Linked DNA regions of Macaca mulatta. The protein of the gene in region 4 purifies or fractionates together with the protein of the main gene of each other region. This does not show direct contact. Links are inferred from orthologs where the notes say so. Each region holds a gene or a part of one and is shown on either strand. Other genes may lie near its edges. The genes, in order: TUBGCP6, FBXO45, CAD, LGALS3BP, MYCBP2, CUL7 and HSP90AB1.

Evidence for each region.
Region 1: the proteins of LGALS3BP (region 4) and TUBGCP6 purify together in Homo sapiens (co-immunoprecipitation; 4 studies listed by BioGRID and IntAct, counting the BioPlex papers as one, with this or other methods). This does not show direct contact. The link is inferred for Macaca mulatta from reciprocal best matches to the Homo sapiens genes LGALS3BP and TUBGCP6.
Region 2: the proteins of LGALS3BP (region 4) and FBXO45 purify together in Homo sapiens (co-immunoprecipitation; 3 studies listed by BioGRID and IntAct, counting the BioPlex papers as one, with this or other methods). This does not show direct contact. The link is inferred for Macaca mulatta from reciprocal best matches to the Homo sapiens genes LGALS3BP and FBXO45.
Region 3: the proteins of LGALS3BP (region 4) and CAD purify together in Homo sapiens (co-immunoprecipitation; 3 studies listed by BioGRID and IntAct, with this or other methods). This does not show direct contact. The link is inferred for Macaca mulatta from reciprocal best matches to the Homo sapiens genes LGALS3BP and CAD.
Region 5: the proteins of LGALS3BP (region 4) and MYCBP2 purify together in Homo sapiens (co-immunoprecipitation; 3 studies listed by BioGRID and IntAct, counting the BioPlex papers as one, with this or other methods). This does not show direct contact. The link is inferred for Macaca mulatta from reciprocal best matches to the Homo sapiens genes LGALS3BP and MYCBP2.
Region 6: the proteins of LGALS3BP (region 4) and CUL7 purify together in Homo sapiens (affinity purification with mass spectrometry; 3 studies listed by BioGRID and IntAct, with this or other methods). This does not show direct contact. The link is inferred for Macaca mulatta from reciprocal best matches to the Homo sapiens genes LGALS3BP and CUL7.
Region 7: the proteins of LGALS3BP (region 4) and HSP90AB1 purify together in Homo sapiens (affinity purification with mass spectrometry; 3 studies listed by BioGRID and IntAct, with this or other methods). This does not show direct contact. The link is inferred for Macaca mulatta from reciprocal best matches to the Homo sapiens genes LGALS3BP and HSP90AB1.

What each region holds. Positions count from the first base shown.
Region 1 is NC_133415.1:1,217,008-1,221,201, reverse strand, and holds part of TUBGCP6 (gamma-tubulin complex component 6), read right to left. Parts: intron 2,928-4,194; exon of another isoform or gene 2,351-2,927; coding exon 2,177-2,350; exon of another isoform or gene 2,122-2,176; intron 2,001-2,121; exon of another isoform or gene 1,715-2,000; intron 941-1,714; coding exon 819-940; exon of another isoform or gene 721-818; intron 1-720. UniProt on the Homo sapiens protein: Component of the gamma-tubulin ring complex (gTuRC) which mediates microtubule nucleation.
Region 2 is NC_133407.1:2,111,718-2,115,911, reverse strand, and holds part of FBXO45 (F-box/SPRY domain-containing protein 1), read right to left. Parts: intron 2,938-4,194; coding exon 2,581-2,937; intron 1-2,580. UniProt on the Homo sapiens protein: Component of E3 ubiquitin ligase complex consisting of FBXO45, MYCBP2 and SKP1. Functions in substrate recognition but also plays an important role in assembly of the complex.
Region 3 is NC_133418.1:97,742,647-97,745,508, reverse strand, and holds the end of CAD (multifunctional protein CAD), read left to right. Parts: coding exon 1-199; intron 200-390; coding exon 391-516; intron 517-718; coding exon 719-874; intron 875-970; coding exon 971-1,072; intron 1,073-1,296; coding exon 1,297-1,391; intron 1,392-1,504; coding exon 1,505-1,607; 3' UTR 1,608-1,881; downstream 1,882-2,862. UniProt on the Homo sapiens protein: Multifunctional protein that encodes the first 3 enzymatic activities of the de novo pyrimidine pathway: carbamoylphosphate synthetase (CPSase; EC 6.3.5.5), aspartate transcarbamylase (ATCase; EC 2.1.3.2) and dihydroorotase (DHOase; EC 3.5.2.3).
Region 4 is NC_133421.1:88,655,382-88,659,105, reverse strand, and holds the end of LGALS3BP (galectin-3-binding protein), read left to right. Parts: intron 1-993; coding exon 994-1,246; intron 1,247-1,508; coding exon 1,509-2,634; 3' UTR 2,635-2,945; downstream 2,946-3,724.
Region 5 is NC_133422.1:72,122,638-72,127,534, forward strand, and holds the start of MYCBP2 (E3 ubiquitin-protein ligase MYCBP2), read right to left. Parts: upstream 3,036-4,897; 5' UTR 2,947-3,035; coding exon of another isoform or gene 2,863-2,946; 5' UTR 2,734-2,862; coding exon 2,432-2,733; intron 1-2,431. Other genes in the region: uncharacterized protein LOC144336168, read right to left, coding at 2,863-2,946. UniProt on the Homo sapiens protein: Atypical E3 ubiquitin-protein ligase which specifically mediates ubiquitination of threonine and serine residues on target proteins, instead of ubiquitinating lysine residues.
Region 6 is NC_133409.1:139,085,241-139,089,434, reverse strand, and holds part of CUL7 (cullin-7), read right to left. Parts: coding exon 4,162-4,194; intron 2,752-4,161; coding exon 2,569-2,751; intron 2,304-2,568; coding exon 2,197-2,303; intron 2,108-2,196; coding exon 1,925-2,107; intron 187-1,924; coding exon 26-186; intron 1-25. UniProt on the Homo sapiens protein: Core component of the 3M and Cul7-RING(FBXW8) complexes, which mediate the ubiquitination and subsequent proteasomal degradation of target proteins. Core component of the 3M complex, a complex required to regulate microtubule dynamics and genome integrity.
Region 7 is NC_133409.1:137,866,729-137,871,608, reverse strand, and holds the start of HSP90AB1 (heat shock protein HSP 90-beta), read left to right. Parts: upstream 1-1,918; 5' UTR 1,919-2,018; intron 2,019-3,417; coding exon 3,418-3,564; intron 3,565-4,176; coding exon 4,177-4,383; intron 4,384-4,486; coding exon 4,487-4,646; intron 4,647-4,829; coding exon 4,830-4,880. UniProt on the Homo sapiens protein: Molecular chaperone that promotes the maturation, structural maintenance and proper regulation of specific target proteins involved for instance in cell cycle control and signal transduction. Undergoes a functional cycle linked to its ATPase activity.

The DNA.
Region 1 (4,194 bases), on a different chromosome or scaffold from region 4:
GAGGCAGGATCAGACCAGGTGACCGGGCTCAGGGTCCCCAGGCCTGGATCAGATCATGAGCAAAATCTCCATGTATCTTCATGCTCCGTGGAGCAACTGACTTCAGATGCAGTCTTTAAAAACCACATGCACCCCAGCGACCCAGAAATGGGCTCCCTGGAGGACTTGTGCCCAGCCCTGGGCCTCTGCACTGTCCACACAGACCCACTGAAGTACCCACACCCAACAGGCCCCTCCCTCCCAGGCTCTGGCCAACACACTAATCACCCTGATCCTCCCACTTCCGGGGGCTGCACCTGAGAGCCCCTCCCATCCACACAGTGGCACCAAGCACCTGCCACAACTCGCGCCTTCACAGCCCAGGCTCCCCTGCCCCACGGTGTCTCAGCCCTTGGGTCTCCTCAGGGCTGCCACATTCTGCTCCTCTGCCTGGAAGGTCGCCTCTCCCACTGCTCCCAACGCCCAACTCCTCACTCTTCCTCGTCTGACAGCACTTGCCAGTAGCTCCCCAGCCTGGTTGCTCAGTAACCAGCTTGTGTGTACCAGAAGCCACATCCCTAGGGACCCTGTGTGCCAATTAGGCAGGAGCCACCAGGCCTGGAGGGCCTGGATGGGGCCAGCTGTGGTAGGCCCATGGGAGACACACCCACTCTGCCTGGCACCTGGTGAACTCGGCCAGCCAAGGGCCATCCAGTCACCTGCTGAGGGCTGTTCTCACAGGCCCTCCTTGCCAGGAAGCAGAGCAAACCCTCCATCACCCAGCAGGCTCCATGCCACTCCTGCAAAGTCCCCTGCTCAGTCACCATGCTGAGGCTCACCTGAGCTGCCGGCCCAGTTTCTTGAAGAGAAAACCAATGGTGAGGAGGCTCAGGGTGGGCGAAGTGGAAAGGACGCAGGCCCGGTAATACTGCAGGTACCTCCTCAGGCCACTGGTGAAGGCCTGTGGGCAAAGAGGCTGGGAGGAGGGCGGCCAAGCACATGGACGCAGCTGTGACCAGGGCCTGAGGGGCACCAGTACTGGGCACAGCGCTTTGTTTCCTGCCTCAGCTCTGGGCTCCATTTCCAAGCAATGGGCCTCTGTGAGCCACGTCCCACCACTGGACCAGGTGGAAATGTGGCCCCCCCCACCAACCCTTCCTCTCATCTGAGACCAGCTGCCCCAGGGGCGTGGCATAGGGGTTGAGGGGTGAGGGGGGAAATGGCGGCTGCGCTCTGTGCACAGACACTAGTGCTGTGAGAGCTGCGTCTGCTCGGACCACAGTGGTCTCAGTGGCACCAGCATCCTGGGCAATGCCACAGCAGCAGGCCCTGCAGGTCACACCAAGACAGGCGCACCCTGGACCAATCTCAGTCCACCCACCCCAGAACCCTCCTGGCCACGCCTGCCAGATGAGTGGGAACCACAGTCCAGCCCTTCTCAGTGTCCCTGCTCTGCCCCCTTCTCCACCATCTGCAGCCCTCAAGTCCCCCAGGCCTGAGCCTCTGCCTAGAAGCTCTCCCCGTCCCATGCAGCTCCCACCATGCCCACCTCCGCAGCCCGTCTAAAACCTAAACCTCACCACATCACCCCACCCTACAGCCCCTGCTGTGGCAGCAACAGTTGAAGGAGGCTGCGCCGCCTGGCTCCTCCAGTGCTCTCTGCCCACCTTCCGAACACCCTCCTCTCAGCCCCCAAATTACCCATCATCCGCCTGCCTATTCTCTCCCAATCAAGGTGCAGCCTCTGTCCCATGGGTCTCTACTCAGCATATGAGCCAGCTTCAAGACTCACCAAAGAGCGGCTTCCGGAGCCAGACTTGGCTCAGAACGCCCAGCAGTGTAAATTCACCCAACACGAGGGCCGGGCAGTGTCAGTCATCCGCAATGTGCCGGGCCCACTGGGGAGCAGGCGGCAAGAGCCCCACTAACGCCTTTCCTGCCTCGCATGCCCCGAATGCTGGCTGCACCTGCCTCCCACACACCCCAGGGCCCACACGCATCTGCCCCAGGTTTCCAGTGAGGTAAAACATCTTCACTGACCCATCCCTCATGAGCCACTATTGGGTTTCAGATGTTAGCAAGGAAAGAAAAGGTTTAGACTGTCTGGTCCTGCAGAAGGACTTCTGAGATTCTCTTTTCCAGGTCGTGTGCACCGTTCTCACAAGGATGTGTGACAGCCACGAGGCAGAGGCCGTACCTGGAACACGAGGCCCTTGCTGTACGAAGAGTCCAGGACCGGCTGCAGAGAGAAGTGACTCAGGCGCGTGTAGCAGGTCCCATACTCGGCCACCTCCGAGAGCAGGCTGCTGATGCTCTCGGGAGACGCTCCCGACACGTGGACACCCCGCTTCACCACAAAGGCCTGGGCCGGCTGCACAGGGGTAGAGGACACTGCTCAGAGGCCAGGCACCCAGACCCCCAGGAAGGTGCCATCTCCTTCCACCCTTGCACCCAACCCCACACCACCTAGAGTGCCCCCAGGACCCAAAAGCAAACACCCAGAAGGCGCACCCAGAACTCCTACACTGAGGGACAAAAACGTACAAACCAAAACAAGGCACAAATTCTCACCACACTGAAAAATACATGTTTAAAATGCCAAGTGTAGAAAAGGGTAGGAAACAACAGAACACCTTCCACAGGACACAAGTACACAGACAGCCTCCTAGGGCAGAAGCTATAAAACATGTTTGCCGTGAGACCCGCTCATTCAACTCTTCGGGATGAAAGAGCGGAAACGATGGAAGATGCACAAAGACTTGCCACAGCACATTCCCCGCAATGTGTTTGTAACCAGAGAGTGGAGACCCCCAGTAGAGGGCTCATGACAACCGAAACGAACGGGGTGCAGCAGAAGCCAGGAGGGAGGTTACAGCTGCAAATACGCACGTTAGAAAGGAAAAGAGATATCCCACATTACAAGGAAACAAGATACTAAATCACAACAGCACTGTGTATATCCTAAAGAGATATTTTAAAAAGAGCTGTTAGGCCAAGCACAGTGGCTCACACATATAATCCCAGCACTTTGGGAGGCTGAGGCAGGAGGATCACTTGAGCCCAGGAGTCTGAGACCAGCCTGGGCAACATAGCGAGACCCCCATCTCTACAAAAATTTTAAGTTAGGCCAGGCATGGTGGCTTACGCCTGTAATCCCAGCACTTCAGGAGGCCGAGGCGGGTGCATCACTTCAGGTCAGGAGTTCGTGATAAGCCTGGCCAACATGGCAAAGCCCCGTCTCTACTAAAAACACAAAAATTAGCCGGGCATGGTGGTGTGCACCTGTAGTCCCAGCTACTCAGGAGGCTGAGGCAAGAGAATCGTTGAATGTGGGAGGCAGAGGTTGCAGTGAGCTGAGATTGTGCCACTGCACTCCAGCCTAGGCGACAGAGTGAGACTCCGTCTCAAAAAAAAAAAAAAAAAAAAAACACACAGACATCTCTAGGCTGGGTGTGGTGGCTCTTGCCTCTAATTCCCGCACTTTGGGAGGCCCAGGCCAGCGCATCACGAGGTCAGGAGATCAAGACCATCCTGGCCAACATGATGAAACCCTGTCTCTACTAAAAATACAAAAAGTTAGCTGGGCGTGGTGCTGCACACCTGTAGTCCCAGCTACTCAGGAGGCTGAGGCAGAAGAATCATTGAATGTGGGAGGCGGAGGTTGCAGCGAGCTGAGATGGCGCCACTGCACTCCAGCCTGGGCAACAGAGCAAGACTCCGTCTCAAAAAAAAAAAAGACAAAAAAAATTTAAAATTAGCTGGGCGTGGTGGTGCAGGCCTGCTGGTCCCAGCTACTCAGGAGGCTGCGGCAGGAGGATCGATTTGAGCACAGGAGGTTGAGGCTGCAGTGAGTCATGTTTGAACCACTGCACTCCAGCCTGGGTGATCCTGTCTCAAAAAACAAAACAAAACAAAACAGGCTGGGTGCAGTGGCTCACATCTGTAATCCCAGCACTTTGGGAGGCGGAAGCAAGTGGATCACTTGAGGTGAGGAGTTTGAGACCAGCCTCACCGACATGGTGAAAACCCCATCTCTACTGAAAACAAAAACTAGCCGGCGGGGTGGTGCACACCTGTAGTCCCAGCTACTCAGGAGGCTGCGGCAGGAGAACTGCTTAAACCCAGGAGGAAGAGGTTGCAGTGAGCCGAGACTGTGCCACTGCACTCCAGCCAGGGCAACAGAGCGAGACTCCATCTCAAAAAAAAAAAAAAAAA
Region 2 (4,194 bases), on a different chromosome or scaffold from region 4:
GTGAGCCGAGATCATGCCATTGCACTCCAGCCTGGGCAACAAGAGTGAAACTCCATCTCAAAAAAAAAAGTCAGAGACAGAGACTGGGTTAGATAAAAATCAAGATCCAACAATATGCTGTGTAGGAGCTCCACTTTAAATACAAAGACAGACTGACAGAGGATTACTAGAGTCAAAGGAGGTCATTTCATAATAAAAGAATAAATCAGGCAGGGAGATATAACAATTAGAAATGTATATGCACCAGTAGTAACAGAGCTCCAAAATACATGAAGCAAACACTGACAGAACTAAAAGAGGAAAGAGACAAATTGGTAAGCATAGATGGAGATTTCAATACTCCTTTCAGTAATGATAGAAGGGGTAAAAAAAAATCAGTAACACTATATAAGACTTAAATATTATCAATCGACTTCACCTAATTCTCATTTACAAAATATTCCATTCAACAAAAGAATATACATTTTTTCAAGCACACATGGGACACTCATCAAGAAAGACCACATATTAGAATAAAACAAATCTCAATAAATTTAAAAGGACTGAAACCATAAGCATGTTCTCTGAAAAACATAGACTTAAGTAAGGGCTTTCACTTACAAAATCATCACAAGGGTAAGTGATAGGACTTTCTTTTTAGTGATAAAGTCTACACACCCTTCTCCTTATAGTATCTGCAGAGCCTAAAAGGATAGTGAGGAAACATTCTATGAAAAAAAAATCCTTCCAGCTTTTATACCTCAGGAAATAGGATGTAGTTTTGGTTCTTTGGTTCAGTATGCCTGACTTGAGGTCATTACCGAGGCTGGAACTTTCACGCCACATGTGGCTCTGAAATATGCAGCCTATAGTTCTTTAAAGACTTCCAATTTCTTATCAGATTATTATATATTACACCCTGCTGGGTCTATAGTAATAAATATGGCTTTTACAAATAGGACTATAATTTTAACTTGAGTCAAATGAGTATGCCTTAAGCCTAAGATGAAAAGAATAAAAAATACAGCAGTTTGCCTGAATCTGCCTGTCTCTACAGAAATCACTGATGCCTCCAGGGGCTCTGAATCCGCAGGCGGAGGGTATGGTGCATGTGCATCCACAGAGATGTACTTACTGGGGTAAGGAGCCTAGAAAAAGATGTGGAAGTGCCATGATATAGGAAAGATGACCATCTAGAGCAGGGGTATTCAATCTTTTGGCTTCCCTGGACCACAACGGAAGAATTGTTTTGGACCACACATAAAATATACTAACACTAAAGACAGCAATCACCTTTAAAAACAAAAAATTGCAAAAAACTCTCACAATGTTTTAAGAAAGTTTATGAATTTGCATTGGGTGGCAATCAAAGCCATCGTGGCTACCTGCAGGCTGTGGGGTGGACAAGCTTGATACAGAGCATGAACTGGCAAACTACGGCCCCTGGACCCAATCTGTCCCGCAGCCCACAAACAAGGTCTGTGGAATACGGCCACGTTCATTCGTTTACGTATTATCGATGACTGCTTTTGTACTATAGAGTTGCAAGTTGTGACAGATCCTTACCTTGAAAATGACATTAAAAAAAAAAAGTTGTGACAGAGACCATACGGACTGCAAAGCTTAAAATATTACTGCCTGGCCGTTACCAAAAGGTTTGCCAACCCCTGATCTGGAGCAAAGATAGGCTGCTTAAACTTGTATTAGGAAACACATATTGAGAAAGATCATTTACATATTTATTTAAAAACTGTCAAAAAATCTCCTTGAGGCCGGGCGTGGTGGCTCACGCCTGTAATTCCAGCACTTTGGGAGGCCAAGGCGGGTGAATCACGAGGTCAGGAGTTCAAGACCAGCCTGGCCAAGATGGTTAAACCCCATCTCTATGAAAAATACAAAAATTAGCTGGGCATGGTGGCAGGTGCCTGTAATCTCAACTACTCGGGAGGCTGAGGCAGAGAATTGCTTGAACCTGGGAGGCGGAGGTTGCAGTGAGCTGAGGTCACACCACTGCACTGCAGCCTGGGTGACAGAGCGAGATTCTTAAAAAAAAAAAAAAAGGCCGGGCGCGGTGGCTCAAGCCTGTAATCCCAGCACTTTGGGAGGCCGAGGCGGGTGGATCACGAGGTCAGGAGATCAAGACCATCCTGGCTAACATGGTGAAACCCCGTCTCTACTAAAAATACAAAAAACTAGCCGGGCGTGGTGGCGGGCGCCTGTAGTCCCAGCTACTCGGAGGCTGAGGCAGGAGAATGGCGTGAACCTGGGAGGCGGAGCTTGCAGTGAGCCGAGATCGCGCCACTGCACTCCAGCCTGGGTGACACAGCGCGAGACTCCGTCTCAAAAAAAAAAAAAAAAAAAAGAATATTTTCCTGCATAGCCAAAATCAAAATATAACACCCAACAAAATTAACTATAACCTCCTAACATTTAAAAAAAAAAAAAAAAAAAAAACTTGAAGTCTTGGTATTTGAAAAAATAAAAAATAATAAAAATTACCAAAAAGACAAAACAAAACTGCTATACGAAAATTTGTAAATTTAAAACAAATTAAAGCATGATTTGACAAAGGCCCATACTTGAGAAAAACCCGTTTCTCACCTGATATTTTGGTGCATTGTTGCACTGTGGAAAACTGCCATTGACTTCTCCATTATGTAGTAGATTATTGTCCACCAGATTCCAGCCCCAGCTCTGGTCATCACTGCCCAGCAATGCCACATAACCTTGGCACTGCATGGGGGCCCGTTTCGTGGCAATTCCAATCACTGCCACAGTGCCCAGAGGGCCCTCCCACCACACCTCCCATGCATGGCGGCCCTCACTGAAACCAATCTTGGTCCTTGCACCATCAGTGCTCTGAGCAATGGGGTTTCGATGTAAAGTAAAGCCATTCTTCTTAATGTAGACATTCCTGGAGCAGTCATTAGTGCTGAAGGCATGTTGAAAAGCACGTATCTAAAAAGATGAAAAATAGACCAAATAAATAACGTTATTTTTCTTAAATATTAAAAACTTCAGGATGTATGTTTTTAAATAATGAACTTATATATTTTAAAAAACACAAGTATTTCCAAATAATGGCTAAAGTTTCAGGATGGGATACTAACAGAATAAATAACATTAAAAGTAACTGCCAAACGTTTCATCACTGACCAAAATTTTAAATTGTAGTATTTCCTCAAACAGACTTCTTAAAACATCAAAAGATACCAAAAAAAAAAAAAAAAAAAAAAACCTTATATCTTAGAGATAATACTGAAACGTTTATGGATAAAATAATGATATCTGGGGGAATTGCTTTGAAATATCCAGAGATAGAGTGGGAAAGTGTGCAATATAAATATGAAACTAGACTGGCCATAAATTAATCATTGGCAAAGCTTGGTGATACGTATAAGGAAGTTCATCAAACTATTTTCTCTACTTTTGTTTATATTTGATATTTTTATATCAAAAAGTTGAGACATAGTTTTCATATGGGCAATGCTGTCATCAAAAATAATTATATTTTACATAAAATAGAAACTTTAATCATAGCAACTCTAAAGTTTATGAAAAATTTTAGTAAACACAAACTACTTTAGATCCTCAGCCTGCTTGCCAGGTATGACTTACACAATAAACAAAAAATCACCAATCTCATTTTACCAAATCAAATAATCCCCTAGATAGCATCTAGATTCAAGTAACTAGAATTTATAAAGAGAAGCTATCAATAAGACAACTTAGTTGACTCTTCAGCAAAAACAAAAGTTTACACTTCCAAAATAAAGAGGGTATGAAAATAGCTCTTTCATACAAACAATAACAATTTCTCATGAACAATTTTAAACTTTTAGTTTGTGTATTTTAAATTTTTTTTAGACAAGGTCGCTGTCACCCAGACTGGGAGTGCAGTGGTACAATCGTAGCACACTGCAGCCTTGAACTCCTGGGCTCGAGTGATCTCCCATCTCAGCCTCCCAAGTAGCTGGGGTTACGGGTTCGAGTCACTACGCCTGCCTGGTTTGTATGTTTTTTAAAAATCCCTTCTTTACTTTAGCCAAACTACCCAAAAGCAGTGAAAGGCTGGGACCTATGCTTTGGTGAACCTGAGAAATCAACTCCAGAGTCACAGAAGCTCAGCATTCAGGAAGACCCTTAAAGGCCACCTAGTCCTTCTCAAGGATCTCAACGCGGGTGAGTGCGAGAGGCCCAAAGAGAGGCCAAGTA
Region 3 (2,862 bases), on a different chromosome or scaffold from region 4:
CTCCATGTTCTATGAAGTGAGCACACGGACCAGCAGCTCCTTTGCAGCAGCCATGGCCCGGCTGGGAGGTGCTGTGCTCAGCTTCTCGGAAGCCACATCGTCTGTCCAGAAGGGCGAATCCCTGGCTGACTCCGTGCAGACCATGAGCTGCTATGCTGATGTCGTCGTGCTCCGGCACCCCCAGCCTGGAGCAGTGGAGGTGAGGCCAGCCTGGGTACTGAGATGGGGTTAAGAAGGCTGGACCCAGGGACTTGAGAACCCTTCTACCCACATTTTCTGTGACTGCAAGTCTCAGGTTGGGCCAGATGAGTGAGGGGACCCCGGAAGAGTGGGACTGACAGTTGGGGGGCCTCTGAGCTGCAAAAGACAGGATTTTCCCCTTTTTTCCAGCTGGCCGCCAAGCACTGCCGGAGGCCAGTGATCAATGCTGGGGATGGGGTCGGAGAGCACCCCACCCAGGCCCTGCTGGACATCTTCACCATCCGTGAGGAGCTGGGAACTGTCAATGGCATGACGGTGAGGGTGGTGGCAGGGGTTGGGGCCCTGCCAGGGGACGATCTAGAGAGGGAGGCAGGAAGTGGTTACCCTGGTCCAGGACAGCTGCATCAAGGAGGCCTTCATTCTGCTCCAGGGACTTTTAAAAGCTTGGAAATGATGTAGCGGGGGGTGGGGGGGAACCCAGTCTGGGATCCCTGTGGTGACTGGGTTCCTCCCCTAGATCACAATGGTGGGTGACCTGAAGCACGGACGCACAGTACATTCCCTGGCCTGCCTGCTCACCCAGTATCGTGTCAGCCTGCGCTACGTGGCACCTCCCAGCCTGCGCATGCCACCCACTGTGCGGGCCTTTGTGGCCTCCCGCGGCACCAAGCAGGTGAGACCCTCACAGCCCAGCCTGGAGGCCATGGAGACGTGGGTTGGGCAGTCAGAGCCCAGTGCTGCATCCACCATGGCTCTCCTCACCCTCCAGGAGGAATTCGAGAGCATTGAGGAGGCACTGCCTGACACTGATGTGCTTTACATGACTCGAATCCAGAAGGAACGATTTGGCTCTACCCAGGAGTATGAAGCTGTGAGTGCTGGGCTTGAGGAAGAAGCCAGGGCTGCTGCCATAGGGCATCAGATATGAGGACAGAAAGGCTGGGCTGAGGGCTGGGTCAGAGCTATTAAACCTCATGTCCGTTAGTTGCCATAGCTGCATGTGGATGTGGAGGGGGCCACAGTGGAGTCCAGACTTGTGTCCTCTGTAGCCACTCCTACCCCAAGGCACTAACGGGGACCCCATCTGCCTTGCAGTGCTTTGGCCAGTTCATCCTCACTCCCCACATCATGACCCGGGCCAAGAAGAAGATGGTGGTGATGCACCCGATGCCCCGTGTCAACGAGATAAGGTGGTGCAGCATCAGAGTTGGAGACTGCCTCGGGTCTGGTGGAGGGGAGGAGACTTAGTCCTGGACAAGCCATCCATGGCCTGCACGATAACTTCCTTTTTTTTTTATTGCAGCGTGGAAGTGGACTCGGACCCCCGCGCAGCCTACTTCCGCCAGGCTGAGAATGGCATGTACATCCGCATGGCTCTGTTAGCCACCGTGCTGGGCCGTTTCTAGGGCCTGGCTTCCTCAGCCTCTTCTCTTTAGGCCCAGCTGCTGGGCAAGGAATTCCAGTGCCCCCTACGGGGGCAGCACACTTAGATATTCTTGGACATCCAGATAGCTCACATGTGCTGACCACACTTCAGGCTCTGGATTGGAGCTCTCTGGCATGGGGGTGGGGCCTCAGATGCTGGGGCCCAGTCTGCCCTATCTTCATTCCTGCACCTTAAACCTGTACAGTCATTTTTCTACTGACTTAATAAACAGCTGAGCTGCCCCTTGATGCTGAGTGTAGTAGAACGGAGCTTTCTTTTAGAAAAATTGGCCGGGCGCAGTGGCTCAAGCCTGTAATCCCAGCACTTTGGGAGGCCGAGATGGGCGGATCACGAGGTCAGGAGATCGAGACCATCCTGGCTAACACAGTGAAACCCCGTCTCTACTAAAAAAATACAAAAAACTAGCTGGGCGAGGTGGCGGGCACCTGTAGTCCCAGCTACTCGGGAGGCTGAGGCAGGAGAATGATGTGAACCCGGGAAGCGGAGCTTGCAGTGAGCTGAGATCTGGCCACTGTACTCCAACCCGGGTGACAGAGTGAGACTCCGTCTCAAAAAAAAAAAAAAAGAAAAATTGAGCAGATTCCCAAATGATAAGAGCAGCCTCACCAGGCAGGGCTCTGGCTAGGGCAGTGTGCCCACACTCGGCATTTTCACACTCGTGGCTCTTTGGGACTCAGCGGGAGCATGTTACTCTGTGCTGAGTCCTGTGTCGTGCTAATGCCAGAGCTTACCTGGAGGCTCTGGCTGGTGTCCCAGTCCTTCTTCCTCAATTCTGTTGACTCAAAGACTTGACAGAGTTCTGCCCTCTTTCTGACACTGGGAAAACACTCAACAGGGTGAAAGGAAGGCTGAGCACTGCGGCCTGTCTGAAGCCGGGCCTTGACTCTTCCCCATTCTTAGTGGTTAGTCCTCCTCCAGTGGCTAAGGCTGCCATTGCATTCTCAAAACCACCCTAGAGTTCCCCAGCCACTGTCACTATTAGGAGCCCCTCCCACTTCCCAACCCTGGGAGCCTCTGCCTGACATTGGACAGAGGGGCAGATGCCATGGAGGGCTGAGGAGCAGTTTGGCTTGGAGACCCCAGGGCAGGGGCCTAAGGGGAGTAGCTTATGTGTCTGTGGTTGAGGGCTTCTGAGGAGCGGCTGTGCCATCCGGTGAACTTGAGTAGCATTGGAGAAATCTCGTTTCTTGTTCCAACAAAACTTAGCACGCTGT
Region 4 (3,724 bases):
TTCTTCCGTGCCAAGGTGGTTCTTCCTGGGCTTGCACGGGACAGCCTGGGCACTTCCTGCCTACCGCCCTTTGCCAGGAGCTGGAGGCCCCTAAGGCAGGAGGGGTCGAATCCCAGGGAGCCCCTGTGCCCACATGGGATGGACAAATGACTGGAGCTAAGCCTGGACTCACAGTGCGGGAAGCCCACGAGATGCCATGGGGCTGTCGGGGGCCGGGGGAGGCCAGGCGGAGCATGCGGGGCTGTGGGTGCCGGGCAAAAGCTCCTGGGGCAGGAGAGCTGTGGTGAGGCGTGCAGGTGGGAGGCAGCTGGGGGTCCTGCAGTGGTTCAGGTTTTAGGAGGCCCAGGGCAAGCCCACCTGGTTGAAAGGTCATGGTTACTTCAAATCTATTATATTTGTGACAAAGAAAAAACTATGGGATTTCGTTTTGAGTTAGGCTTTGAGAGGGGCTCAAAGAAGGGGGGAGGGTATACCACACTGACCCCTGACCCGGGAGCCTCCCATGACTTCTGCAGGTCTTGTCCCCCACAGGAGGCTGCTCGAGGACCCCCAGAGTTCTAAAATGGGGTTGCCACAGGACCCTCACTTTTCAGGCCATCTAAGCAGGCAGTGGTTTTGGTTTGAGAAGGGCAGTGTCATTGGTGGTTGATGACTGAGGCTGGGGAGTGGGGCTCCAGAGTCAGCACCACCAAGTCTCCCTGCAGAGCTGCTGCCTGAATCGGGGGAGCAGCACAGAGCAGAGGGCCTAAAGCGGGGGCCTGGACAGGCTTGGCCAGGTCCCAGCTGCTCTTGTTCCCCAGGGCTGGAAGGGGTGGGGCCTCACGGCCCAGGGATCCGACACTTTCGGTCTCTCCTGTCCCTTATCTTCCCAGGAGCCTTCCAGAGTGGATGAGGCAGCCACGAACCCCCCACTTTCAGATGAAGACGCTGCCCCCAGAGAGTGGCAGCGTCCCGGCTCCTAACGTAGCCTGCTTCCCTCCCGCCCCTTCTTAGAAACCAGGAGCACCCACACCCTGGACCTCTCCAGGGAGCTCTCGGAAGTCCTTGGCCAGATTTTTGACAGCCAGCAGGGCTGCGACCTGTCCATCAGTGTGAGTGTGCAGGGCGAGGACGCCCTGGGCTTCTGTGGCCACACGATCATCCTGACTGCCAACCTGGAGGCCCAGGCCCTGTGGAAGGAGCCAGGCAGCAATGTCACCATGAGTGTGGATGCCGAGTGTGTGCCCATGGTCAGGGACTTTCTCAGGTGAGCCGTCTCGTCCTCAGGCTCTGGGGCTGCCAGGGGCTTTGTCCTCCTCCCTGCTTCAAAAGCACACCCACACACACGCACACCTGCACACACTCTTGCATGCACATGTACCGTTGTCACACGTGCGCTCGCGCAGTTGCACACACACGCATGCTCGCTCCCACGCTGTGCACACTCGGGTGGCTGTGTTGGACAGGCAGGCTCAGGGCTCCCCTGCTGTCCTGTGGGGCTGGCATCCACTCTCCCTCTTTCTCCCCAGGTACTTCTACTCCCGAAGGATCGACATCGCCCTGTCGTCGGTCAAGTGCTTCCACAAGCTGGCGTCTGCCTATGGGGCCAAGCAGCTGCAGGGCTACTGTGCAAGCCTCTTTGCCATCCTCCTCCCCCAGGACCCCTCGTTCCAGACGCCCCTGGACCTGTATGCCTATGCACTAGCCACAGGGGACACCCTGCTGGAGAAGCTCTGCCTGCAGTTCCTGGCCTGGAACTTCGAGGCCCTGACACAGGCCGAGGCCTGGCCCAGTGTCCCCACAGACGTGCTCCAGCTGCTGCTGCCCAGGAGCGACCTGGTGGTGCCCAGCGAGCTGGCCGTACTGAAGGCCGTGGACACCTGGAGCTGGGGGGAGCGCGCCTCCCATGAGGAGGTGGAGGGCTTGGTGGAGAAGGTCCGCTTCCCTATGATGCTCCCTGAGGAGCTCTTTGAGCTACAGTTCAACCTGACCCTGTACTGGAGCCACAAGGCCCTGTTCCAGAGGAAGACTCTGCAGGCTCTGGAATTCCACACGGTGCCCTTCCAGTTGCTGGCCCGGTACAAAGGCCTGAACCTCACCGAAGATGCCTACAAGCCCCGGATTTACACCTCGCCCACCTGGAGCGCCTCTGTGACGGACAGTTCCTGGAGTGCACGGAAGTCACAGCTGGTCTATCAGTCCAGACAGGGACCTTTGGTCAAATATTCTAATTACTTCCAAGCCCCCTCTGACTACAGATACTACCCCTACCAGTCCTTCCAGACCCCACAACACCCCAGCTTCCTCTTCCAGGACAAGAGGGTGTCCTGGTCCCTGGTCTACCTCCCCACCATTCAGAGCTGCTGGAACTACGGCTTCTCCTGCTCGTCCGACGAGCTCCCCATCCTGGGCCTCACCAAGTCTGGCGGCTCAGATCGCAGCATTGCCTACGAAAACAAAGCCCTGATGCTCTGCGAAGGGCTCTTTGTGGCAGACGCCACCGATTTCGAGGGCCGGAAGGCTGCGATTCCCAGTGCCCTGGACACCAACAGCTCCAAGAGCACCTCCTTCTTCCCCTGCCCAGCAGGGCACTTCAACAGTTTCCGCACGGTCATCCGCCCCTTCTACCTGACCAATTCCTCGGGTGTGGACTAGATGGCGTGGCCCAAGGGTGGTAAGAACCCGAGAACCCCAGGACGCCCTCACTGCAGGCTCCCCTCCTTGGCTTCCTTCTTCTCTGCAACCACCATCAACAACCGTCCACCAGATGTCCCCCTACTCCCCTGAGCTCTCAGCTTCAAGAAGACTTCCACTCGTGTCCGCCAGGAGTTCTCCCACTGCCTCACCAGGTTCCAGGTGGTAAGCACCAGGGCGTCCTCGAGGTCGCTCTGGGGTCCCCCCACAGCCCCTGGTCAGTCTGCCCTTGTCACTGGTCTGAGGTCATTAAAATGACATTGTGGTTCCTACATTTGTTTGTACAGAAAGTGTTGTTGGGTCTATACCGTGTTTAGACATCAGGTGTGCCAGGCTCTGGGGGGCAGGGAATGAGGCAGAGTCCCTGTCCTTGTGAAGCTACTGGCTAGCGGGGAAGATGGAACAGGAAGCACACCTCCCAGCCCGGAGCAATGACACAGTGGGACACGAGCAGGAGGGTGCGCGTCACTGCACACGTGCACGTGGGTGTGTGATTGTGTGGGCATAGGCGTGTGTGTGTTCATGAAAGTCTGGCTGTGACGGGTGCCCTCACCCCTTATCTGGATGGGTGTGCTTTATTTTATTTTATTTATTTATTTTTGAGACGGAATCTTTTTTTTTTTTTTTTTTTTTGAGACGGAGTCTCGCTCTGTCGCCCAGGCTGGAGTGCAGTGGCCGGATCTCAGCTCACTGCAAGCTCTGCCTCCCGGGTTTACACCATTCTCCTGCCTCAGCCTCCTGAGTAGCTGGGACTACAGGCGCCCGCCACCTCGCCCGGCTAGTTTTTTGTATTTTTTAGTAGAGACGTGGTTTCACTGTGTTAGCCAGGATGGTCTCGATCTCCTGACCTCGTGATCCGCCCATCTTGGCCTCCCAAAGTGCTGGGATTACAGGCTTGAGCCACCACGCCCGGCCAAGACGGAATCTTGTTCTGTCGCCCAGGCTGGGGCGTAGTGGTGCGATCTTGGCTCACTGCAACCTCCACCTCCCGGTTTCAAGCGCTTCTCCCGCCTCAGCCTCCTGAGCATCTGGGACTACAGGCACCCGCCAT
Region 5 (4,897 bases), on a different chromosome or scaffold from region 4:
TCCCACATTTGCATATCCCACCCAACCTCCTATATTTGAATATCCTTCCCTCAACTTTGAAATCCCCTTGAGTTACCAAAAACACATTCCATTCACTCCTCACCACATCCCTCTATTCTCACCACTTCCTCAAAAGTTATCAATCACCTGAACACTGTTCTCACTTTCTTCAACATTTACCACTTCTGAGAATTTTCAATCCACTCTCCTAGAGCCACAGAGGCTACTGTCTCATGATTTTCTTCTTAATTTTGATTTTGTTTCCTTCACTGTCTCCTTTCTCTCACACTTTTAAACCTGATGCTCACTAGAGCGTCATTCTCTATTCTTCCTCCATTCAGTCTAAATGATCTCATCTTCTCCTCTAACTCAACTAGTGTCCCTATACAAATAATTCTATCATTCATTCAGAGTTGAAACCCCAGTTCTACTTTCCCCAACATCTTTAATAAGAAATGTGATTTAATTCTTAATCAAATCATCAATAGAGTAGTTGCAGGCTACTTTTTGTAATAAAATAATGTGCACTTTAATAAACAATAATGTGTTGAACAAGCATTAGCAGGCAATATCATAATGTAAGGCTGATTTCCATGAGTAGTTCTTGAAATACTTGAACTAATTCTTCATTACTTTTCATTGACAGCTTGTACAAAAATGGACCAAAGGCTAAAAATTCATTCACAAATATTATGTGATTAATCTATGTTAATTTTGTCTAAAACTGTTAATATAGTTCTAGATACACAGAAATCATATTACACTAGTAGTAGAAAGTCAAAACAGGAATATACCAGTCACAAATTATTAAGTCTGGAAACCATACACAAAATAAATCTAAATTCTTTAAGAGGAGTTTGTAAAGATGTTCCTGCGGTGCCATAATTTAGAGATCTACAGATCAAAATTATACCTAATTATCAGAGCAAATTGTCTCATGTGGTTTTGTGCTATTTTCAAAAACATTAGCAAAAACAAACTTGCACCATTCTGGCCTTCAGTTCAGATAGCAAAAAGTAGTTACATACGTTTACATCCATATGGTAAAACTACTCCTGTGCCCAATCCTGTAAACAATCACAGACATGAAAAGACTGGTTAACCTAGAAAAAGCGTGAACAAAGCTCCATCTTTACAACTCTCTCCAACAGATAAGCCATAATACATAGTGATAAACTACAAATACCTGACTTACTGCCTCCTCCCTTTCATAATGGCAGAAAAAGACATCTAACAATTGCCTAGTAAGTTGCACATTCAAAAAATAACAGTAAACTCTTTAACTCATTTTGACAGTTTCCTACTATGTTTTCCCCATGTACTGCAAGAAGCTGTGGGAAAAAAAGATGAAGCCAACTCCCAATTACCACTGTCAAAGCTGGTGGAACAAGTCAGTCACCATCCTGCAGGGTATGCGGCATGCAAGGGCATGGAAAAGAAAACAATAGGAGAGTCCTCAGCAAAAAAAAAAAAAAAAAAAAAAAAAAAAAGCACCCACATTTTAACAAAAAGAAAATGAAACTAACTGAACATCTACATCAAGGAAGCTGAAGGTGTAGTGAGCCTAAGTAAAAGGGAGAGATCTACGCGCTATTCAGATTTTCTAGCTAGTGGCCGTTGAACGCTGTACCAGCTGTCATATTCTGAAGTTCTGCAGTTTTCCCCTTTTCCCTACAAAACCCTCTCTACTCTAAAGCCCGTAAGTAACAGAGGAAATCGAACAGAGGATGAAGAGAAATGGCCGATGGGACATCAGATCACAAGAGTAACTGCAACCTCATTTCGAGAAGACCAAACGGCCCCGTTATCAAAGTACAGCTCTAAAAATCTCTATCAGACACCCTTCGCATCTACATAGATCTCCGTCTTTTGCGTCTCTTATCCATAAATCTTTTCAAACCAGACCTCACGCCTATCCCTCGGGCCTGCCTATCCAAAGCTCAACCAATCTATACCATGACTCGTGAAAGGCAGATTGAAGGGAGGTGGAAAGGGCTGGAAGGAATGTCATGGGAGAGGGGGCACGTGCGAATAACATTGCGGCAGAGACACTGAAAATGCCACTTCCTTTGCCACTCTTGCCATTCTCTTCGTGTATCATCCTCTTACCCTCTCTACCCATGCCACCTCCTACCTCAATGATACACACACGTGTCACAGCCGACCAGCACCATCGCCTTTTCCAGGATCACAGGCTCCCCTGCCACTCCTCACTATCCCCCACATAGGCGCGCGCGCGCGCGCGCACACACACACACTTAGAGCAGAAACTGCAGCCACCGCACCCTCCTATCTCGATAAGCGCTCCTACCAGCCGACATCCAGAGCGGGTTGAAAGCTCAGTAAATGCGCAAGTACACACACGCACGCACACACACACGCGGGTGCACGCGCGGCATGGGGAGCAAGGAAGGGCACCCTGGGGACGCACCTGGAGGCTGGGTGTCCAGCGCTGCCGCCCCCCTGGTCCCTGTCATTGAGCGCAGCTGTATAAATCCTCCGGTAGCGGTCGGCCAGGGCCCGGCCTGACAGCAGCAGCTGGTAGTGACCCCGGGAGTCCGCAGCGGGTAGCCCCAACCCCAGCCCTGCAGCAGCCACGGAGCCGTCGGGAACCGGCATGAACAGCGCCCCCGGCGCCGGGGAGGAAGAGAAGGTGGCGGCTGGGTAGAATCCGTCCCCGCCGAGCCCCGAGGAGGCGGCGGCGGGGGAGGCAGTCGCTGCGCACATCATCATCCTCGCCGCCGCCGCCGCCGCCGCCGCCTCGTCCCCGCGGGCCGGGCGGGCAGACACGCGCGCGCACACACAGCCCTTTTCCAACGACGACGGCTCCGGCGGCGGCCTCTGGCTCCCGCAGCAGGGAGACTACAAAGACAGCGACCTTCTTCTCCTCCTCCTTCTTCTCCTCCTCCCCCCCGCGCCGCCCTCGCCGCTACTGGGGCCGCTCATCTAACCCCGCCACCCCGGGAGTGTGAGGAGGAGGCGGTGCCGCCACTGCCGCCGCCACCACCGCTACCACCGCCGGGGCTACCCGCAATGGGAAGCTGCCGGCCTCACAGAGCATGCGCCACTCCTCGCACATGCTCAGTAACTGCAGCCCCCTTTCCTCCCCACCCCCTCTCCGCCACCACTCCCTCCGCCTCGGGGCTTTGGGTTTGGGGCGGTTGGGTGGTGCGGAATCCGAAGCAATCCACTTCTCCGGGTTTTACTGGCAGCTTAAGGAAGAGTAAGGAAAGTGCCGGGGAGGCTATCAGCTGCTGGCGTCTGACTTCAGGTTCCCTCCAGGTGGAAGAACAAGGACCAGAAAGCAAGAGGGAACGTGCCCATCGACCAAGGAGGAGTGACACGCACTCCTGCTACCTCCTCCCCAAGGCTCTGCTGCCAACAGGAAGATTTCCTGTGCACTGTGCTGGTTAATTCAGAGTTTAAGACAGAGAAAACCATCCCAATTAGAAGTGCCTTTAGAGATCTTATTTTAGATGGTTTCTGTCATTAGGATTTAAGCTTGTTTAACATAGCTTTTACTTACAAAGAGAGGTAGTAATCTAGCACATTCTTTTGTGTGTGAAAGTAGAATTAACAGATAGGCTAGTATTTATAAGCCAGAATCATTCCCAAATTCTTCTTCTCAACAGAGCAATAATATTTTTTAAATTACTCTTTTTGTTGACTCCTCACTCACCTAAGAGTGCATTTTTATCTCTTGGCAGTGGCCATTTACTTGTTTATTTTTTTCTGCCCAAACTTACATTTTTAAAGATAATTCTTGAATGTGATCTGCAACAATAATTGTGACTGAGACTGTATAGCATCTGAAAATGTCAGATCCCTCACAGATCTTATTATCTATAAAGGAACATGTGCTCAGTCCTTTGTTCCAAACTAACCTATGAACCCCGTCTAAGTGTATGCTCTAGAAATATACGTGCCAATGCACCTTGATTCCTACTACCTTTTTATCCTTTGACTCTCAATTAGTTGCCTAATTTATAGTCCTGACAAAATAATTTATAAGTTCTATCATCCCCGTACTGTATCTTTCATCTATGTACTAGTTCTTATATCTGTGCCTCTTCTTTGGATGGCCTTCTCTTAAAAAAAAAAAAAATTTAAAAAAATCCTCCTTAGTGTTTGAGAAGTGCAAACAACAGGGAATAAGAAAGTAAAGTAATTCGAGTTTTAGGGTTGAAGGTTGCTGAAAGCAATGCATTTTTTCTGAAGCTTTAAATAATAGATGGATTTCATTTAAATTTTTTTAAAGATAATTAACAGTGGGATAAACATAGGAACAAAGGACAGACATGTGGAATCATAGCATTTTAGTACTGTAATTAGTCCTGTTAAGTTTTTGTTACTTGTCTTGTCTCCTTACCTATCTTAAGTTCCTTCAGAGCTTGTTGTTTTTGTGTCTTCTTCAGCCACTTCAGGACTTTGCACGTACTAGGTATCCAGTAAGTATTTATTAGACTAAATTTCTATCCTAATGCTTCAGCACAGTTCAAGACCTCAGTGTTGACCAGGCAGCCCCTCACCCTGGAGTGAGAGCCAAGACAATGGTGTAGAGGCAGCTAAATTCTAAGAATTCTAAGGCCTGACAGGTAAGCAATGAGAGGGCCCATTACTATTGCAAGACCTAGCAGGGTAGCTAAAAGGTTCTGAAATCAGACAGCCCTGGAATTGGATCCTGATTCTGCTACTTAATACTTGTCTGGCTTTGGGCAAAATATCTCCTCTGAATAATGCTCAAAAGAATACCAACTACATGAGATTGAGGGAGGACTTAAAGGATCTAGGATGTCCAACTTGGCACATGAATTTTCACAAATGGTAGCACATACTAAACAAAACACTAGGTTTTCTGTAAGGTAGCAATGGTGTCTGTTCAACCATCACAGGCTCC
Region 6 (4,194 bases), on a different chromosome or scaffold from region 4:
TCCCGCTCCTTAGGTCCACACTCACTGGTAATAATGCTCAAAGGTGGTGGCTATCTCCAGGCCGGAGAAAATCAGGACAGCTTGCAGGCACTGCTGCAGCTGTGCCAGCCTCTCCATTTCCTGGGCTCCACCAATCCGGCTGCCCTGGATCTGCTGGTCAATGTGCCGGGCGAACTGCTCACTCACCTGAGCAATGGCAGAGCACAGGAAAGCCATGAACAAGCAAGCAGAGCAGGTGAGTGGGGAGGAGGGACGAGGGTCTGGAAAGTAGATATGAATGCTGGCAGCTTCCTAAGGTGGTTGGTGCTTTCATACAACTATTATATACGATCATTAACCATTGTACAAATTAGCAATATTAACAATTATGGAAAGTGTCTTTTCATTGTGTCTAAAAATTCAAACTAATAATAATCATTCAAAATGAGAAAATAAGGCCAGGCGCACTTCACGCCTGTAATTCCAGCACTTTGGGAGGCCGAGACAGGCAGATGGCTTGAGCCCAGGAGTTGGAGACCAGCCTGGGCAACATGGCAAAACCCCATCTCTACTAAAAATACGAAAAAAATTAGCTGGGCATGGTGGCACATGCCTATGGTCCTAGCTACCCAGGAGGCTGAGAGGACCACCTGAGCCCAAGAAGTTGAAGCTGCAGTGAGCTGTGACTGCACCACTGCACCCCAGTCTGGGAGAGAGTAAGACCCTGTCAAGAAAGAAGGAAAGAAAGAGAAAGAAAAAGAGAGGGAGAGAAAAAAAAAAAAAAGAAAGGAGAGAGAGAAAAAGAAGGAAGGAAAGGGGAAGGGAAAGGAGTGGTGGCTCATGCCTGTAATCCTAGCACTTTGGGAAGCCGAGGTGGGTAGATCACGAGGTCAGGAGTTCGAGACCAGCCTGACCAACGTGGTGAAACTCTTGTCTCTATTAAAAATACAAAAATTGGCCAGGCTAATTTTTGTGGTGGCCTGTGCCTATAATCCCAGCTACTTGGGAGGCTGAGGCAGAAGAATTGCTTGAACCCGGGAGGTGGAGGTTGTGCTGAGCCAAGATTGAGCCTAGTTACTGATAAACTAGGACTGGAGGCTACACAAGGAGCCTCATGCTCCTGCTGCTCTTTACCCTGCTTTCCAGGGTGCTGCTTGCATTTTAGTTCATCAATTGTGGTTTTTGTTTTGTTTTGTTTTTGAGATGAGTCTAGCTCTGTCACCCAGGCTGGAGTGCAGTGGTGCAATCTCGGCTAACTGCAACCTCCACCTCCTGGGTTCAAACAATTCTCCTGCCTCAGCCTCCCAAGTAGCTGGGACTACAGGCATGTGCCACCATGCCTGGCTAATTTTTGTAATTTTAGTAGAGATAGGGTTTGGTCATGTTGGTCATGTTGGCCAGGCTGGCCTCAAACTCCTGACCTCAGGTGATCTGCCTGCCTCAGCCTCCCAAAGTGCTGGGATTACAAGCGTGAGCCACCACACCTGGCCACTATTTATTTTTTAAACTTTTTTTTTTTGAGACCGAGTCTTGTTCTGTCACCCAAGCTGGAGTGCAGTGGCATGATCTTGGCTCACTGCAACCTCCGCCTCCCAGGTTCAAGCGATTCTCCTGTCTTGCCCTCCTGAGTAGCTGGGACTTCAGGTGTGTGCCACCACACCCAGCTGATTTTTTATATTTTTAGTAGAGACAGGGTTTCACCATGTTAGCCAGGAGGGTCTCGATCTCCTGACCTTGTGATCCACCCACCTTGGCCTCCCAAAGTGCTGGGATTACAGGCGTGAGCCACTACACCCAGCCAATTTTTTAAGCTTCTTATAACATGGCTATATACTAACATATGTTCATCATAGAATGGGAATGGAAGGGTGGGTCATTTGGAGGAGGCGAGGAAGGAAGAGTTTGTAGGAAGAGACCCAAGGATGCAGCAAGGGTGGAGGCTTACATGGGCAGCTTTGAGAAAAGGGAGCTTCAGCAAGGCTCCCGCACAGCCATTCTGCAGCGCCAGCAAGAAGGCTGCCCGCGGCCCAAACAGTTCAGAGCTCGAGTTCTGCAGAATATTAAATTGCTCACAGTAGCGTGGCACAAAGTCATCATCCCGCCAGGATGAGGTCAGAAAATTGTTCACCTGGAAGGAAGGGGCAGGAGCATGAAGACACAACCCAACATGCCACCATTTTGGTGTCCCCTCTCTCCCCCAGGCCCGCTCCTGCCCACCTGCTTCTCCACCACGGCTTGCCAACAGCGCGTCAGGTTTCTCATGATGCTGCTTGGAAGGCCCCGGGTAGCCAAGGAGCTCCAGTCGTGGCTTCTGTTTCTGCCCTCTGTGGAGATCAAGAAAGTGGCAGAGGCAAGGAGTGGGCAGCCCCTCCACTCCAGTCGCTATCCAAGGGGGTGCCCTGAGGCCTTTCCTGACATGCTGCCACCCAAAGTGATGTTCATGGATGGAGGTGACACAAACCTGGAAGATGAACAGGCTGAGCCAACAGGAGGGGAAGGATGGGGATGGACAGAAGTCTATGGTGTACACGTGGGGCCCAGGAAAATGCTCCTGACTAGAAGCTCCCCACCTGAATCCCCACTACTCACTGGGCCGAGGAGTGGCCGCCACAGGAGGGGGTGCCTCGCAGGGCTCGACATGCACCAGCAGGTGAGTGAGACGGCGCACCCGCGAGAAGAAAGCTGGGCCGCGGCTCTGGGGGTTGAAGACAGCTTCCTGACACTCCAGGTACTGCTCCAGCAGCCAACCCAGGGGGCTAACGCCATCCTCATCTAGAGGGTGAGAAAAACAAACCAAGGCACAGCCATGTCTGCAGGGAAGTGGGAGAGGTTGGGCTGAACAGGAGTGTAGAGATAGAGCAACTGGACGAAATGATACAAGGGAGGGGCCAGGTAGGGTGGTTTATGCCTATAATCCCAGCACTTTGGGAGGTTGAAATGAGAGGAGTTTGAGCCCGGCCTGGTCATCTTTAAAAATAATAAATAAACAAGCTGGGCACAGTGGCTTACACCTGTAATCCCAGTACTTTGGGAGGCCGACGTGGGCAGATCATAAGGTCAGGAGATTGAGACCATCCTGGCTAACACGGTGAAACCCCGTCTCTACTAAAAATACAAAAATAAGCCAGACGTGGTGGCGGGTGCCTGTAATCCCAGCTACTTGGGAGGCTGAGGCCAGAGAATGGCATGAACCTGGGAGGAGGAGTTTGCAGTGAGCCGAGATCACACCACTGCACTCCAGCCTGGGCGATAGAGTGAGACTCCATCTCAAAAAAATAATAATAATAAATAAAAATAATAAACATTAAAAAAAATAGAAAAGGCCAGGCGCGGTGGCACATGCCTATAATCCCAGCACTTTGGGAGGCTGAGGTGGGCGGATCACCTGAGGTCAGGAGTTTCCGAGATCAGCCTCACAACATGGAGAAACTCCATCTCTACTAAAAAATATAAAATCAGCTAGGTGTGGGTCGGGCGCGGTGGCTCACGCCTGTAATCCTAGCACTTTGTGAGACTGAGGCAGGTGGATCACCTGAGGTTGGGGTTCAAGACCAGCCTGACCAACATGGAGAAACCCCATCTCTACTAAAAATCCAAAATTAGCCGGGCATGGTGGCCCATGCCTGTAATCCCAGCTATTTGGGAGGCTGATGCAGGAGAACTGCTTAACCCTGGAGGCGGAGGTTGCAGTGAGCTGAGATTGCGCCATTGCACTCCAGCCTAGGCAATAAGAGCGAAACACTGTCTCAAAAAAATAAAATAAAATAAAATAAAATAAGCCAGGCATGGTGGCACATGCCTGTAATCCCAGCTACTCAGGAGGCTGAGGCAAGAGAATTGCTTGAACCCGGGAGGCAGAGGTTGCGGTGAGCTGAGATCGCGCCATTGCACTGTAGCCTGGGTAACAAGAGCGAAACTCTGTCTCAAAAAAAAAAAGATATGAAAAGAATGATAAGGGAGTGGGTAACAAGGTACCTTCTGCACTTATGGTGTCAGCTGATACTTGAGAGACATAGGAAAGGGGGCAGCCCCTGGGCTATGAGAAGACGGCACTGGGATTACAAATGCAGGTGCCAAAAGGGCCAGAACATAATCCAGGTGGTTCTAGGGTAGAGCAAGAAGGAGCTAATTAGTGGAGCCAAGCCCTGAGATAGTAATGGGTCCAGGTGTTAGGATGGTTACCAGGGGAGGTGATGTTCTGCACCACGGGGCTGA
Region 7 (4,880 bases), on a different chromosome or scaffold from region 4:
CCTGCTCCATTTCTGGAGCAGAAAGGGAGCCAGCGTAGCAAGGGCTCTGAGTAGAGGGACCCTGGGAGTCACTAAAGCCACTTCCCTGTTGATATAATGTACACACTGGCTTTCATCCGCTCACAGGACAGTGAGAGTTTGTGAATGCTCTCTGTGAACTGGGGAGCAGATTTTTAATGACGTAGGTCCCTCTGCTTAGAAGGAGAGAGTATGTTAAGGGATCACGCTCCCTCTGGTTTGCGGTTTTGGTCAGGAATAGAGCACCCAATGCCCCTTCTTATAGACTTCTCCCAGCCATAGGCTTTTTGCAGACCATAATGAAAGGGAGAAAGGATATAAAATCGGGATGATGATGGCAGGCATGGAGAAGTTGACAGGGACAAGGAAGAGGAAAGCAAGGGACGTCCTTTTTCTTTGGTATTCAACACATGAACAAAGCTTGTTAACGAATGTAGACTGGGTAACAACAGGGCTGGTGAGGGAGGACGACGTGGGTGGCTGTGGGGAAACTCTTCCCAAGCATCCTAGGGGTGGGCCAGGAAGGGGACTAGATGGACATCTACAGGGCACAGAGCAGGGAGCGGCTATTCTCTCCTGGAGGGGCTGTGGGTCCAGCAGGCTTTCGGATGACGCCTTGGAAAGGCAAGGACAGCTTGCCGACTGGAGGGCAGGCAAAAGGGCGGAGACAGGCCAGAGACGGCGGCCGCAGTTCACTGACCAGGAGTATGGCCTAGGGGTTCTGGTGCCAAGGCTGAAGGGGAACAACTTGGCCAGCCGCTCTCTGGCCGGCGTCTTCACGCGGCCTCCAAGAGCTCCTGTTGCCCTGCAGTGGCTCCTAGAGACTCCCTCCTTCCCACGTCCAAATAGCTGCAGGAGGGAAGTGGGAGAAAAAAAGCGAACCAGCTTGAGAAAGGGCTTGACGTGCCTGCGTAGGGAGGGCGCATGTCCCCGTGCTCCGTGTACGTGGCGGCCGCAGGGGCTGGAGGGGGTCCCTCCCGTAGCGACTCCAGTCTCAGAGTGCAAAACGGTACGCCCGCAGAGTCGCCCCAGGTGCTTGGGTGTTGTGTGATTGACGCGGGGAAGGAGGGGTCAGCCGATCCCTCCCCAACGCTCCATCCCATCCCTGAGGATTGGGCTAGTACTCGCGTCGTCTCCGACAGGTCAGAGCCGGTCCCCGGGTGGGGTCGCTGCAAAAACCCTGCTCTGGCCGCAGCCGGAGAGGCGGAGCCCCGCGGGGAGGGGGCGGGCGGGGGCGGGACCGCCGAGACAGGCCTGGAAACTGCTGGAAAGCCGCAGCGCCGCCGCGCCTTCCGCCGCATGCCGGCAAAGAGTCCCGCCGGCCCCGGCCGGCGCCCTCCCCCCACGCTGAGATACCCCACACTGCGAACCCTCCGCCCTTCCTCTGCTCCTGGGAGAGTCAGGATCTGGGGCTAACCAAGGTCGGGTCCCGAATGCCAGTCCCTCTGTCGGGATGCGAAATGTGTAGGGCATATGCTAGGAAGAAGATTGGGTATGGGAGCAGCGGTCGGAGTGGTTAGCTGCCTCGGCTCTTTTTAGGTGTTTCCCCCGGGCTCTGTCCTTGGGTGTGGGGACTCCTGCCTCACAGGTTTTTAGGGAGGTCAATGGATTCCTCGCCCGTAGAGACACCGTATATGCCAAATGAGCACTCCTTATCCCAGCTCTTGATGGGGTCAGGTCCTAGACATGAAGATATGGGGCTGTGATCACAAGCAAACGTGTGGGTGGATCCGTTGCTTGGGTTCTTCCCCGCCCCCTCCTTTTTTCGGACCATGACGTCAAGGTGGGCTGGTGGCGGCAGGTGCGGACTTGACAAGCATGCTCCTTTAAGGCGGAGGGATCCACGGGAGGGCGGCTGTTCTGTGCTTCGCCTTATATAGGGAGACTTGGGGCACGCAGTAGCTCTCTCTAGTCACTCCGGCGCAGCGTTTTGTGCCTGGTAGTCATCAGAAAGCAAGCCCACGTTCTTCTCTAATACGTGTAAGCCTTTTCTTTTCAAGGTAAGGCTGAATTCTTCGTTAGGCTTCTTTAGTGCTCTTTCGTGTTGCTCTTGTTTTTTTCTGTCCTTTAGGGAGCCTAGATACCGGGGTGGCTTGTGGATAACGCCCTGGATTTTTATAGGGTGAGGGTAGTGGTAGGTGAGGGCTCTTGAGTTTTCCTCGGTTTTCTCTAGTGTGCTTGGGCGGTGGGGCTTTCTCTTGGCTCCTCCTAGCCGTAGCGAGGTGGGCTGTGGGGCTGGGGCAGTGCGCGGCGGGCAGCTGCACGTGGTGGCCGCGCGGCCCGGGACGCTGCCATTTTTGCCCCTCCACTTCCGGACGCGGCTATAGGGCGTCGGAGGGGGACCGCAGGATGGCGGGGGTGCCTGCTCGGGTGACTCAGCACGGCCCTGTGGGACTGGCTTTGCCACATCTCTTATCGGACGCGTTGTTAAAGCCGCCTTGGGTGCTTTGTTTCTGTGAGGGTTCATGGTGTGGGAGGAGCGCTTTCGGTCTCCAGCACCCCATACTCCCTCCTTCCAGATCTTTATTGCAGTCCCGGTGGAGGAGGGTTGGGGAGGGGGGCAGGTTCTGGAAGATTCATGGGCTCCCTCCTCCGCCCGTCCTCTAGAGCTGAGATTGTTCTGGAAGCTTCTGGATTCTGGCGCCCCGCCCCAGTGCCCGGATGCTGGGGCGAAGGAGGGTGCACGGCGGCGCCCCCTCCTCGCGTGGTCCCTGCCGACGCATGTCCGGCAGTGACGAGTGTCGGCCTGGTGGTTACGGCCACCATCTTCCTTCTGTTGGGTTTGGGCCTGTTCTGTAATTTTGTCCTGTGAAGGGGTCGTAGTGGAGCTTTTGGCTTATCGATTCTTTGTCCGGATTTAATTGCCCCTCGGGCGGGTATCCTCTGGATCCCAGGTTATTCCTCCCTGCAGTGTAGGGTAGGAGTGTCCCGCCCTTGGGCTGGTCTTAGGAAGACATCTCAGGGGGAGCAGTTTAAAGTTAGTGCCAAACTAGTTACTTTGATCTCCAAATGAAGAACTGTAGGTAGCGATTTTCACATTTAAATTTGTGTAAGGATTATCTGGGATCTCTGGATACCTGGGTTGGACCAGCATTATGAGTTTCTGCCATACTACCGGATGACGCTGAGACTGCTGGTCACCACTCTAAGTAGCTGGGTTCTGTGACATTTGGTTGAAGAACATTCAGCTTATTTTCTTTTTCCTTCTGAATTTTCAGGCTTCCCACTTAGTGTGTAGCCTGAGATCTTTTAAGAGAATGCTTTTTCGGTCTTTTCGGAAGGGATAGTACTCAGGTCAAACCAGTCTCAACTCTTAAGGTCCTAACAAATGAGATGACCTTTAGGATTTTAAAATGTGAGGCCTTCATGTTTTGTAATTAATGATCATTTTTATTTTAGATGCCTGAGGAAGTGCACCATGGAGAGGAGGAGGTGGAGACTTTTGCCTTTCAGGCAGAAATTGCCCAACTCATGTCCCTCATCATCAATACCTTCTATTCCAACAAGGAGATTTTCCTTCGGGAGTTGATCTCTAATGCTTCTGATGTAAGTGCTGTGGTTTCTATATTTGGTGTGTTTATTTTTTTGACACTCTTCGTAGAGAGGAAAGGAGTGGTTTGGCCTTTGTTGGGGACTACTATTGAAGGGGGTAAACTTGCAACTATTCCAAAAAGATTTGTCTTATTCTCTGGCCATCTTGAACTTGAAAGGGAAGTGACTATGTCCAGAAAAAGTGGGCTCATGTAACTAACTGTAGTTCTAAAGCCTCAAGATAAGGGGCAATCAGATTTGAGGCTGAGAGAGGTAAACCAAGATTTTCTTTGAAGACACGGGCTTTAAGAAAGCAAAAGTGACCGAGCGTGTTGACTCACACCTGTAACGCCAAGGCAGGAGGATCACTTGAGCCTAGGATTTCGAGGGCAACCTGGGCAACAGCCAGACCTTGTCTCTGCAAAAAATTAAATATTAGTTGAGCACAGTGGCATGTGCCTGTAGTCCCAGCTACTTGGGAGGCTGGGGTGGAGGATGGCTTGAACCAGGGAGGTCAAGGCTGCAGTGAGCTGTCATCCTTGCTACTACTGCACTGTAGCTTGGGCAACAGAGCAATTGCCTGTCTCGGAGAGAGCAAAAGTAAGTTGCTGTTTGTATTCGTTTCAGGCCTTGGACAAGATTCGCTATGAGAGCTTAACAGACCCTTCGAAGTTGGACAGTGGTAAAGAGCTGAAAATTGACATCATCCCCAACCCTCAGGAACGTACCCTGACTTTGGTAGACACAGGCATTGGGATGACCAAAGCTGATCTCATAAATAATTTGGGAACCATTGCCAAGTCTGGTACTAAAGCATTTATGGAGGCTCTTCAGGTACTGCAGTTCTGTAGGCATACACCATTCATATTCATCAGTGTTCTTTATTTTTTTTGCTGCTTTAAATTTTGTGTTTGACTTTACAAAAACTTGTTGGCAGGCTGGTGCAGACATCTCCATGATTGGACAGTTTGGTGTTGGCTTTTATTCTGCCTACCTGGTGGCAGAGAAAGTGGTTGTGATCACAAAGCACAACGATGATGAACAGTATGCTTGGGAGTCTTCTGCTGGAGGTTCCTTCACTGTGCGGGCTGACCATGGTAAGTTAGCTTTTCTGTTACAAGGTAGCTGGGTTAGAGTTTTGTGGGCTCACCAGTAGCAGAAATTTTGAGCATCCTGTCAAGCAGTTCTTCATAGCAGTTCCGCTAATACTTTATTAATTTGGTGAAGTCTCAACTGCATATACTTTCGTCCTGTTACACGCTTATGATTGACTCTTCTAGGTGAGCCCATTGGCAGAGGTACCAAAGTGATCCTCCATCTTAAAGAAGATC